Linked DNA regions of Arabidopsis thaliana. The protein of the gene in region 1 binds, or shares a complex with, the protein of each later gene. Each region holds a gene or a part of one and is shown on either strand. Other genes may lie near its edges.

The links.
Region 2: NRPB2 (region 1) and NRPB3 share a complex: the UniProt entries of both Arabidopsis thaliana proteins name them as parts of the RNA polymerase II complex.

Annotation. Positions count from the first base shown.
Region 1 is NC_003075.7:11,536,001-11,544,314, reverse strand, and holds the start of NRPB2 (DNA-directed RNA polymerase family protein), read left to right. Parts: upstream 1-1,909; 5' UTR 1,910-2,114; coding exon 2,115-2,363; intron 2,364-3,139; coding exon 3,140-3,361; intron 3,362-3,463; coding exon 3,464-3,754; intron 3,755-3,864; coding exon 3,865-4,062; intron 4,063-4,153; coding exon 4,154-4,218; intron 4,219-4,321; coding exon 4,322-4,408; intron 4,409-4,485; coding exon 4,486-4,606; intron 4,607-4,701; coding exon 4,702-4,746; intron 4,747-4,838; coding exon 4,839-4,976; intron 4,977-5,109; coding exon 5,110-5,182; intron 5,183-5,347; coding exon 5,348-5,424; intron 5,425-5,502; coding exon 5,503-5,610; intron 5,611-5,696; coding exon 5,697-5,813; intron 5,814-5,905; coding exon 5,906-6,061; intron 6,062-6,142; coding exon 6,143-6,247; intron 6,248-6,330; coding exon 6,331-6,456; intron 6,457-6,549; coding exon 6,550-6,627; intron 6,628-6,720; coding exon 6,721-6,816; intron 6,817-6,905; coding exon 6,906-7,021; intron 7,022-7,096; and 9 more. Other genes in the region: AT4G21720 (defensin-like protein), read right to left, coding at 41-187, 285-323, 416-519, 729-782, 1,679-1,754. UniProt on the Arabidopsis thaliana protein: DNA-dependent RNA polymerase catalyzes the transcription of DNA into RNA using the four ribonucleoside triphosphates as substrates. Second largest component of RNA polymerase II which synthesizes mRNA precursors and many functional non-coding RNAs.
Region 2 is NC_003071.7:6,731,745-6,736,584, reverse strand, and holds NRPB3 (DNA-directed RNA polymerase family protein), read right to left. Parts: upstream 3,052-4,840; 5' UTR 2,925-3,051; coding exon 2,476-2,924; intron 2,222-2,475; coding exon 1,984-2,221; coding exon of another isoform or gene 1,939-1,983; exon of another isoform or gene 1,829-1,938; coding exon of another isoform or gene 1,781-1,828; exon of another isoform or gene 1,376-1,780; coding exon 1,103-1,375; 3' UTR 766-1,102; downstream 1-765. UniProt on the Arabidopsis thaliana protein: DNA-dependent RNA polymerase catalyzes the transcription of DNA into RNA using the four ribonucleoside triphosphates as substrates. Component of RNA polymerase II which synthesizes mRNA precursors and many functional non-coding RNAs.

The DNA.
Region 1 (8,314 bases):
GGAGTTCCAAGTGTTAGCCTTTGATGGGGGTTGAGATACGTCAAGCGGAAGTTGCAAGAACATCCTCAGTAGGAGGCTGCATTGGTTTTTGAGAACGTGGTGGTGGTGGTGGTGGTTGTGGCTTTGGCGGTGGTGGTGGAGGTCTCTTTGGTTTCACCTTATTGACTATCTCAGCTTCAACATCAAACTGCATGATGACAAAAAAATACAGCCACACGGGTTCAGAGAAGTAGAGTGTATTTCCAAACGCATCAAATTATTGAGGTTGAAGCAAGGAAACAAACCTTGTAACCACAGCCTGCTACACATGCGTGAAAGCATTCCTGAATTTAAAAACAGAGTTACATGTACAACAATTAGATACGGTTCAGTCCATTTCTCTTTTTTGAAGAAAAAGATTCATTGTGTGAATTACCTCAGAGTATTTGGCATCTCCAGGAGAACGATCTATAACAGCAGTCCATGGTCTGTCTTTTAGCACAGGATCTTTGTAGCAAATTTCACTGCAGTCTCCTACACCTATAGAGAGTACACTACTATTACACCAATTCATTAACTTGGAAACTTAAACCTGAAAAGCAGAAGATACTCTTCATGAACATGTAATTTCGTTATGTAGGAGACAAGCTTGGTTTTTATGATGTTCCATAGTGAGGACAAATCTAACCGCTCATCATTTCATCAACAGTTTCGTTACAGATTACAAAGAATTAAAAAGAAATGCTTACAATCTTCCCATGAGTCACTATCGGCATCACATCCCTTTTTGCAGAATACTCTCCCTACACAGATTCAGGAATTACATTAGTGCTATGGAAAAAATGTCATACAACAACATGGAGGATAAACACTGATGCTAAAGCTGAAAAAAAACCCAGATTGCTATGGAAAAAATGTCATACCAAGCATAAGTTCAGCTAGCTTTTGTGCCCATGAATGAAATTCAGAGATCAGAGAATGAAAAGCTTTCATCAGAAAGACAGAAACAGCCAAACCAAGCCCTTTAACTAGCTTAAGCATACATATATGTCAATAGTTCATAGAAGCAACATGGATACAGAAGCATCTTTGATACCGTTACTTTGACTCTCTCCCTTTAAATTTCTTTCAGTTCATAAACTACAACTTATTATCTTCCACTTTCTCCTACTAATTTAACCATTTTCTTAATTACATGATAGAAAAGCTCTAAGAACTCTGCATAATCTCCCTTACTTGTAATCAATATAAATGTTGCCGATTCTTCAATCTACATTATTCAATTACGAGTCAAGATGGATGTTCTTAAATACTTGCAACTACAACTATAAGTTGTCTCTGGACCAATCTAACCAAAGAAGCGATTCTTGACCAAAATGTTTAGTATAATCGTAATGAAGTAGAGTGCACCAACAAATAATTAGGGTTTATGAATCAAGAAATCAATCAACAATCCAATTTACAGATCCCAATTTCAATTCCAAACAACAACAAAAAGAAGAAACACTCGGAAGACTAAATTGACTTTTGAATCAAGAAATCAATCACCAATCCAAATCAGAACCCAATCTATCAGCTCCAACAACAGATTCTTATCATCATCATCGAAAACTAAACCATCAAAAAACAACGGACCACGAACATCAAAACTCAAAAACGAATCCGATTCACACAAATTAAGAGTCCAGATATTACATACATGGAAGCTGCGTAAATGCTGAGTACTTATTCGTGCATTTGCTCCCACACGGCGGCGTCCATTGCTGCGGTATCATCTCTCTCTCCCTTCCTCCGCCTTCACTCTCCGTCTCTCTCTCTCTTCTTCCGAAAATATCGCTGACGCCACAAAAATGTAGCCGGAGACTTTTCTTTATATAGTAAGGGTGTTTCCGTCATTTAACAATCCAAGCTCTCTAACAACCAAACCGATCCTTTTTATAATCCCATTTAATCAAACCGGTTATTGATACAAACCGGTTATTTCCATAAACTTAAGCCGACTTCTCTCTCTCGAGCCTTTATAAACTCACAATCTCACAAAGCCGTCTCATTCTCTGCGTCCTGTCTCTCTCTTTGTCTCCGAGAGCTCGAGTAGTGAAGTTTGCTGTGCTCTAATCTTCAGAGAGTGAGAATAAATGGAGTACAACGAATACGAACCTGAACCTCAATATGTAGAAGACGATGACGATGAGGAGATTACCCAGGAGGACGCGTGGGCTGTTATATCTGCTTATTTCGAAGAGAAAGGTCTCGTTCGTCAACAGCTGGATTCGTTTGATGAGTTTATTCAAAATACTATGCAAGAAATCGTTGATGAGTCTGCTGATATCGAGATCCGACCTGAATCTCAGCATAATCCTGGCCATCAGTCCGATTTTGCGGAGGTTGTTTCCTCGTTTTTGTTTTTTTCTAGGGTTTCTATGGGAATTCGAAATTATGTGCGGGTTTATCGTGTTTGTGGCGGTTTTAAAGTGTTTCGATTTGAGCTTCTACCGTTTGGGTGCGATTAGGGTTTACCTGAATCTTATTGATGTCCCGAGATTGTCTTGTTATTCAATGCTTGAGCTATATGCTGTTCAAGAGTCAAAAAATGATTTTGACTATTGATGTCCGGATATTGACTTTGAGCTGGTAATCTTATTAATGTCCCGAGATTATCTTTGAGTTAATGCTTGAGCTCATCTCTTTCGAGGAGGATTTATAGTATTGGTTGAAACTCAAATCAGTTTTGGCACTATAAAAATGAGTTTGGTATCTTTTTTTGCTGTCCCTTTGGTCTGTTTTCCTGCAGACAGTCTATTGTTAGCCCTTATCTGAGAAGCTTATCTCAATGATTTCCCATGATTATCTTTGTATTCGATGCTTGAGCTCTTCGCTTTTTTGAGGTGTATTTTCAGTGGTTTTGAATATTGGTTAAAGCTTAAATCAGTTTTTAAGTTTTGTTGCAATTAGGGTCTGCCTTTGTCGAGTAGCTAAGCTCATTGATTTTCCGAGATTATCTTTCCATTTAATGCTTGAGCTCTTCGCTTTTTTCAAAGTGTCCTTTCAGTGGTCTTTATTATCGGTTGAAGCTCAAATCATTTTTGACTTTGTGTGAGCTGAGATATAGCTGTTTTGCTATCTGTTTTTCTGTATGTCTGATATAGCTGTTTTCCTGCAGACAATCTACAAGATTAGCTTTGGACAGATTTATCTGAGTAAACCTATGATGACAGAGTCTGATGGAGAGACTGCCACCCTGTTCCCTAAGGCTGCAAGGTTGAGAAATCTCACATACTCTGCGCCTTTGTATGTCGATGTTACTAAGAGAGTTATTAAGAAAGGGCATGATGGTGAAGAAGTTACGGAGACACAGGATTTTACTAAAGTTTTCATTGGAAAGGTGTCCGAACTCAGTTCATTGTGTCACATTTATTTAGGTGTTTCCATGTACTCTACTGTTCTGATAGTAGAAATGTTTTCTTCTTGTTTGATTATTTGCTAGGTTCCCATCATGCTCCGGTCTAGTTACTGTACCTTGTTTCAGAACTCGGAGAAAGACCTGACAGAGCTTGGAGAATGTCCTTATGATCAGGGTGGATACTTCATTATTAATGGCAGTGAAAAGGTTCTGATTGCTCAGGAGAAGATGAGTACGAATCATGTTTATGTGTTCAAGAAAAGGCAGCCAAATAAGTATGCTTATGTTGGTGAAGTCCGTTCTATGGCTGAAAACCAAAATAGGCCTCCAAGCACAATGTTTGTGCGTATGCTTGCTCGTGCTAGTGCAAAAGGGGTAAGAGAAAGCTAATTAGTCTTAACTCTACTATATCCTTCCTCGAAATTTATTCTTTAAATTCTAGATAATGGTAAATAAATTACATTCTATGTTGCAAATGGATGCAGGGTTCATCTGGACAGTATATTCGATGTACTCTTCCATACATCAGAACAGAAATTCCTATTATCATAGTATTTCGTGCACTGGGATTTGTTGCCGATAAGGACATATTGGAACACATCTGCTATGATTTTGCCGATACCCAGATGATGGAGTTGCTCAGGCCTTCCTTGGAAGAAGCTTTCGTTATTCAAAATCAGCTGGTATCCACTTTTTTTTCACTTGGTTAATGACATTTTATTATGCTTGAGGAATTGATCTTGCAATCACTTGATAACTTTCATATTACTTCAGGTTGCACTTGACTATATTGGAAAACGTGGTGCAACTGTTGGTGTAACCAAGGAAAAAAGGATAAAGTATGTGATAATCTAAACCAATTAAGTTGGACATTATGATCTAAGATGTCAACTATTGAGATGTTCACACTGGAGGTTTGCGATTGCAATATTATCATTGCAGGTATGCTAGAGATATCCTTCAGAAAGAAATGCTTCCTCATGTAGGAATTGGGGAGCATTGCGAGACAAAGAAAGCTTACTATTTTGGGTAGGTATTTAACTCACTTGTAATGTTTATAGACTTAACATGTTTCTGTGTTGCTCATATTATGCTATGATCCGTAGGTATATCATACACCGGCTGCTGCTTTGTGCACTTGGCCGAAGGCCAGAAGATGATAGGGATCATTATGGTAACAAAAGGCTGGATCTTGCTGGTCCTTTACTTGGAGGGCTATTTAGAATGGTTTGTTCCCGGCACACAATTATACACTCTTGGGGATTGTTGAGTATCAGTGTTTTTTTTATCTCTTACTGACCTAACATCTTCTCTACATGCAGCTTTTCCGAAAGTTAACAAGGGATGTGAGATCTTATGTTCAAAAGGTATCTTACATAGTTACTCTTTCTCGAGCCAAAGACTTTAGTATTAAGTTGTTATTCTGTGTTTGGAAGTCTGATTCATGTTTCTTTGACAGTGCGTTGACAATGGCAAAGAAGTCAATCTTCAATTTGCCATTAAGGCTAAAACAATTACCTCTGGCCTGAAATATTCTCTTGCTACTGGGAACTGGGGCCAGGCAAACGCTGCTGGCACAAGAGCTGGAGTCTCTCAGGTTAGGATAATTCTATGTTAATTATGTTTTTGAGTTCCAATAATTTCTTGATGTATGTTATCGGGTTTACTGTTTTGGCCTATTATAATTCATTGCATGATTTATATGGCTCTAAAGACTTAACTAACAACAGGTTCTTAACCGGTTGACATATGCTTCGACTTTGTCACATCTGAGGCGTCTCAATTCTCCAATAGGACGTGAAGGTAAAGCCTCGTTCTTTTCCTGCACTTCTATTTTGTCTCTGTGTAACTGTTCGTACAGTTGGTGTATTTTAGTCATGGTTCTCTTTATTATCCACATCCTTGCAATTTAGATTGGCTTGTACTTTTGTTTATCCCACTTGAATCTAATCAAGTCTGATATGCCAGGAAAATTGGCAAAACCAAGACAACTGCACAACTCACAGTGGGGAATGATGTGCCCTGCTGAAACACCTGAAGGACAGGTAAAATTGTTATATTTATAAAATAAGGGTGTTTCGGATTTTATAGTTCCATTGCTCATTGTGGCTTTGCTGTACCAGGCTTGTGGTCTAGTGAAAAACTTGGCTCTCATGGTCTACATAACAGTTGGGTCAGCTGCTTATCCTATATTGGAATTTTTGGAAGAATGGGGTACTGAGAATTTTGAGGTCTGTAGCATTTCACATTCAATTTCTTACCCAACATCTGCCTCCTTGGTTCTTGTGGTTTCCTGAAGGTCTTAACTTGAATATAGGAAATATCTCCATCTGTTATACCCCAAGCCACAAAAATCTTTGTCAATGGAATGTGGGTTGGAGTTCATAGAGATCCTGACATGTTGGTGAAAACGTTGAGACGTTTGAGACGAAGGGTAAGCATGCAGTTTCTTTCACGTTTCCATATATGCTAGTGAAAATATTGCAACTTTATGCAGAAGTGACATATTACTTTTTCCTCTTGCAGGTTGATGTCAACACTGAAGTTGGTGTAGTTAGAGATATCCGTCTTAAAGAGCTCCGGATATACACTGATTATGGACGTTGTAGCCGTCCGTTGTTTATTGTAGATAATCAGAAGCTCTTAATAAAGAAGAGAGATATCTATGCTCTGCAACAAAGGGTAAAATTCTAATTTTTACCTGTTATCAAAGTATCTTTTGTTATAAATTCCATTGTACCAATATTTGTTTTCATAACCCAGGAAAGTGCAGAAGAAGATGGTTGGCATCATCTGGTTGCTAAGGGCTTTATAGAATACATAGACACAGAAGAAGAGGAAACGACCATGATTTCCATGACTATCAGTGTGAGTAATGAAATGAAGATGTGATTAAATGAGTTTGTGGTGCACTAATTTCTGCAGAAATCTTACTCTTATGTTTGTTGTAGGATCTGGTTCAAGCTAGACTCCGCCCAGAAGAGGCTTATACTGAAAACTACACACATTGTGAGATTCACCCATCTCTGATATTGGGGGTCTGTGCTTCAATCATACCATTTCCTGACCATAATCAGGTACCTCTGTCTAAATGACTTTTCTATCAGAAGCGATTTCATTATGTAAATTCAGTTTCATGCTAACTAACCCTTTACTTTTTGATGTATTAGTCACCTCGTAATACATATCAATCTGCCATGGGGAAGCAAGCAATGGGAATTTATGTCACCAACTACCAATTTCGCATGGTATGTTCTAGGCTCTTAATTTGTGGTCTTTCTTGTCAGCTCTTGTTACATCACTCAATATTTTAAAGAAATTATTATTGTTCTGTCAACCAGGATACGTTAGCTTATGTTCTCTATTATCCACAAAAGCCTTTGGTTACTACAAGAGCTATGGAGCATCTTCACTTTAGACAACTTCCAGCAGGAATTGTAAGTTATTTTTGCTAGAAGTTTTTCAGAATTCAGCATTGCTCGTGTATCAAATCTCTCAAATGTTTTTTTTTCTTCTTCTTGTGCAGAATGCTATTGTTGCCATTTCTTGCTATTCTGGATATAATCAAGAAGATTCTGTCATCATGAATCAGTCTTCAATAGATCGTGGTTTCTTTCGATCCTTGTTCTTTCGGTCTTACAGGTGAGTATGCTATACTTTTGGACGTTTGCCTTCGGTCTTTCCATTTATTTATACTGCAATCACGTTTGCTGACAGAGATGAGGAGAAAAAAATGGGGACGCTTGTCAAAGAAGACTTTGGGCGCCCAGACAGAGGAAGTACAATGGTAAGAAAGTAATTGACACATGGTTCATACTTCAGTGGTGCTTTTTGTAAGTGAAGTTTAACACTTGGGTTTCTGCTGCAGGGTATGCGACATGGTTCTTATGATAAACTGGATGATGATGGTCTTGCGCCTCCTGTAAGTTTATAATTTATTGTTCCTTAATTATTTATTATCTGATATGATTAGGTGACTAATGTTAGAAAGCATATCATACAATCTTTTATTTTTGGTATAGGGTACTAGAGTTTCAGGTGAAGATGTTATCATTGGGAAAACCACTCCAATATCTCAAGATGAGGCTCAAGGACAATCATCCCGATACACTAGACGTGATCATAGTATAAGCTTGCGACATAGTGAAACTGGAATGGTGGATCAGGTAACTTTGGCTTTTCCTTGCAGTTAAGGGTTTAGAAAGTTTCAGGATTGAAATATGAAACTGATCAATTCTTGTAACTTCGTGTAGGTGTTATTGACTACAAATGCAGATGGTTTGAGGTTTGTGAAAGTGAGGGTCAGATCCGTGCGGATTCCTCAAATTGGAGACAAATTTAGTAGTAGACACGGTCAGAAGGGAACTGTTGGCATGACCTACACGCAGGAGGATATGCCATGGACGATTGAAGGGGTCACTCCGGACATTATTGTGAATCCACATGCTATTCCGTCTCGAATGACAATTGGACAGCTAATTGAGTGCATCATGGGAAAAGTGGCAGCTCACATGGGAAAAGAAGGAGATGCTACTCCCTTTACAGATGTCACGGTAACTTGCATTTTCCTTAGCTGCTTAGTTAGCATTGGGCTTGGTATTATTAGTTTTGACCAATGTTGTGTCGTTAGGTGGATAATATAAGCAAAGCCCTTCATAAGTGTGGGTACCAAATGCGTGGATTTGAGAGAATGTACAATGGTCACACGGGCAGACCACTCACAGCTATGATATTCCTTGGACCAACATATTACCAAAGATTGAAGCATATGGTTGATGACAAGATTCACTCGCGTGGACGAGGTCCGGTGCAAATCTTAACAAGACAACCAGCTGAAGGGCGATCACGTGATGGTGGTCTCCGTTTTGGAGAAATGGAGCGCGATTGCATGATTGCACATGGTGCTGCTCACTTTTTGAAAGAGAGGCTGTTTGA
Region 2 (4,840 bases), on another chromosome or scaffold:
GAGAATTGTTGTTTACACGGAGGTCGTGTAAGAAAGAGACGGCGACAAAATTCACCGGCTCTCCAATGAATTTGAGCTGATTACGGAGAGAAAGCCAATCCAAGAAACGAATGCATATTAATCGGAGACGTGTATCTCTCCTATTGCGTTTGATTTAAAATTATTAATGGGATATGTTGTAGACGATGCTGCAATAGTGGAACAAGAAAAAAGAAACAAAATGAAATTTTTTTTTACAAAGTTGTAAAAAATGAAACTGTAAAACGACATTAGGTAAAAGTACCTCAATTTGTGAATACTGTGAAATTTTTCTATCTCCACAAAAGCACAAACTTTAATGTGCCGATCCCATAATTGATCCAACTAAATAGATATACTTACTTTCTTACGAAAATGTGGTGGCCTATAATTTTAAAAAATAAAATTGTGGCTGGACCTATTTGACCACTGGACTTTCGACTCACCACTCAGCAATGCGTGAAAATGTGGCATCCCCTCTCATGGCGTAAGGACTAGCGATACGAGCGGTCATCACTGCCACTTTGGAAGCAGAATTGAGAGATTTACTGATTGAATCTGATTGTTAATAATTAGTCCAAGTAATCAATGCCGGAATTCTCTTATCTAAGATCCATGACATCATTTCGGACCTATGAATTAGCTCGAAAACTTTTGAGTTTTTGTCTCTTGTTTCATTCCAAGGGAAGCTACTCACCATAACTTATTGTGTGATCGAAGTTCAAGAACTTAAGAGCTTTAAATTGGGTATCCACTATGCAAAAGTCTTTCATTCCATTTCAGTTAATGGTACGAATTTTAAGATTAAACTACATACTTGTTCCATTTTAATCATACTTGTTCAATGTATTGAATTTAATCCTTGCGTTTATTTTCGTTACGAGCGAGTCTAACAACTAACAACAACCAAACTTAACAAGATTCAGGAACAGAGGGATCAGAGGTCCAGAACAAATAGAAGACTGCCACTTCACATGTTATCAAACAAGACAGTGCCACTACGGTTAATATCAGTCTGCTCCAGAAGAAACTCAAAACCTGAAACAAACAGGTATAACAAAGAGCTCGAATTAATCACTTGAGTTCATCCTCCACGCATATGGGCACCGAGTTCACCAAACTGATCATCCGCTTCTACGGTGTCATCTGAGAGACGGACTGCATCAAGCTTCTGCTTCAGAAGATCAATGGCATTTAGTACCAGTTGGGAAGCCTTCACTGCACCTGTGGACTCAACAGTGAATATAAAACTGTCATCTTTCGGACTGATCTCAATGAGTCCCGGTTTCCCCATTGCTTCAGCTTTCTTGATCACTTCTTCATCGTAAGTGTATGCTTCAGGATCAACCACTACAACCTAAGAAGCAAAGTATAAAAATTACAGTTGTGATGATTCAAGCAACAGACTTCAAAAGAAATGGCATACTAAATTCCAACGATAAACTACTGTAACTGTTATAATGATATACAATGTTCTCTAGCGGGTCAAAGGAAAATTGTCAGTTGTGGTGAGTCCTAGTAAACACTGAACCATTAACATGAAATCTCCAAGAAAATTCAACTGGTACAGAGGTACTACAAGTACTATATCTTCTCCTTTCTTTATTCCCTTTACCATTCGAATAATTTGAAATCTCTAACATGAAATCACAAACAAAAGTTCAACTGGCACAGAGATACTCCAAGTGATTCATATAATTTGCAGTGATTAGATATAGAAAGATGTTTCAGTTTGGTACCAGAAGTTTAGCAGTTATTTGATTCATTCCGATGACTGGCGTAATTCTCCTAAAGAGCTAAGTAGTGCTATCTAACAGAAAGAGAAGCACAGAAAAGAGCAAATGCACTAACCACATCACATATATATATTTCAAGGCATGGCAGTCTATAAAGTAGTTCAATCATATTTAAGTCTCAAAGCTATAAACTTGTATAGCTGCATTCTTCCAAAACGTGAAAACTAACCTGTCTGGTGACTGGATCCATGCCAAACACTTTGGTAGGACTGCTCTCAATCAAGTCGATCTTTTCCTCGTCTGACAAAGTATCCATCATATCTTCATTAATAATTATGTCAGGCTCATACATAAACGTAACAGTAGCTGCAGGAGACCATTTCGCATGATCTTTCCCAATCCCTTTCCTCGCTATCGCTCTAAGCTTCAACTCTTGTCCCCGACGCAGTTTCACAATGATAATTCCCCTGAAACCCGAAACCAAAAACAGAGTCTTTAACCCACACAACCACCATAATTAAACATCAAACAATCACGAACAAGAAGAGTCATGCAAAGGGCCATCGAAAGGAAGTATTTTTCATCCTCGGAATGCTAAAAGATGCAAATTTTGTTTCACCATTGCTTAATCTCTAACGTTTCACAACTCCAATCGATTCATAATGACAAAAGAAACACCACATTTCTGCATTTAACAATCTAATGATGAAAAGGGACTTACTTGTGCTCGCTTGAATCAGATACAGACGAGTCAATAGTGAAATCCACAGGAGTAACAGTAGGATCAGCACTGTACAAATCCCTACTAGTAACATCTAGGGTTTGATCAGTAACACACTTAGAACTAAGCCGAAACTCAACAGAGCAAAACTCGCATTGTCCATCTCCATCACAAGCATCACAATCTCGAGAGAAACGCATGCTCATAGCACGTTCGCTAGTGAGAGGAATGAGACCTAATCGATGAGCAATGAACTCGTCGTTGAGTACAGATGAATTAACCTCGATTTCGACTAGATCTATTGCGACGGTAGGGACTTCGGAGATCATTACGCGACGGAGAGCGTTGGCCATAGAAACGTCGGTTTCACGAAGCTCGAACTTGGCGTAATCATCTTTAAGCTCACGGATCTTGATCTTTGGGAATCTTTGGTATGTGGCACCGTCCATTTCAAAAGCTAATCGGTGGTTTCTGACGACTCTCTGGACCTTTATTAGGGTTTTAGGGATAATGAATTTTCAATTTCTTCGCCGGAGAAGGAGATAGGAGAAGAAATCAGAATAAAGCAAAAGTGAGAAAGATATAAATATTAGAGTAATGTTTAAAGTTGGGCCTATATGGGCCTTTTTAATTCTTTTGGCGAAAAGTAATGTCACCAAATTTCAAACAGGCCCATATAAGCCCAACTCAAATGTTTTTTTTTATACCTTTTCCTTTTTCTTTTTTCTTTTTTTTTTTGTCAAACGTATACCTCTTTATTTAAGTTCTTTTTTCATAGATTCTTTTATCGTACTCAACAACTCTACGAGATCTCATAGTATTTAGTGATATTATAGTCATATATTTGGGAGGAAAACACCATGTATCAAAAAATTTGAAATGATCTCATAGTACCATTAACCATTACAACCCAACTAATTTTACTCATCAAACCAATTGACTCATCAACTCATTTGACCCATCAACTCATTTGAGTCAAAATTTTGAACTCATTAGAGTTCATGGGTTGAGTTGAATTGAGTTGACCCATAAATTTTGACCCATTTTGACACCCATAATCAAAATGTTAACAAGTTTAGTTAAGTTTCTTTAACAATATTAAGGACAAGATGTTAACAAATATTTTAACATGTGAGTGTTAAAGGATTTCATCATTCTTTAATCAACAAGCACTGCCTAATGCATTATTTAGATCATCACAAGGACCATCGTTATAAACTCTTACAATGCTTATCCCTTTGATTACTCTAAAGAAAATGGAGAAATGTGTAATTTGTCAAACATCCAATGGTAAGAATACATTAGACACCATTTATACATTTATCTAAACCAAAAATACTCAATTTTATTTTAAGCTACTAGACAAGAACATCCAAAGTTTATTATTATCTCTCACAAATGATTAATTTACTCTTTGTCTACGAAAATAGAATGCAAAAATTCCCATTTTATAAAAGAAGAAAATGGTTCGGCCAAAACAATACGACAAAAATAAAATAAAAAAAATTGGGTAATGTTTGTACAATTAAACAAGTTATATCATTTTTCCTACTTCCAAGAAAATGAGAGTGCAACTAATAATATGTGTCTGATTAATTTTCTTCATATGTATAGTGAAATCTATATAAAATTATATATATATACAAAAAAAAATTCATAGTTTACAAAGAAAGCAATAAAAACAATGTAAGTGTTTATTTATTATTTTAAAAATTGGGTATTGTTTAGGCTATGGTTAAAGGGTTAAGAATACAAATTAGGAGTATTTGAGTATTTGGTTAGTTAAAAACTCTTTTAGTTTTGAAGGAGATCATCGAGATACTGTGGCGAATTTGGGAAATCGAGGCATTGTATTTAGAAATTTTAGAACATCAAGATTTAGGGAATGCAAGATCTATGGAATTTGTAACACTTAGGCAAGATTTAAAAATCTAAGAATGTAGCAGATCTGGATTCTAGGGAGATCTAGGAGAAGGTTTGTGATAGAACTGATGCTTGGAAAATTCTAATTGAAGAAGACATTGTAGCAAAACTAAGATAGTTATTTATATATCTACAAATCTAATATATTTTGATGCTATATTTGCCAGATGTCGCACATGTACTTAAAGCATCAACCCAAAGTTGGCTTAATGCTGCTGAGTGGACAACGCTTTATGACAACAACCATTTACTGTTCCTTGAAACAAGCTCTTTCACTATACTTATTAAGGAAGACGGACTCTATACAGTTGACAACAACTTCATGCAGGACAGGAATACCTGGAGAGTAATAAGTACCCACTCCACTTGCAGAAATCCAAACGTTGTCTACGATGTTAAGATTGGAAGAGGACTCTACAGATTTTATGATGATTGGGATTGT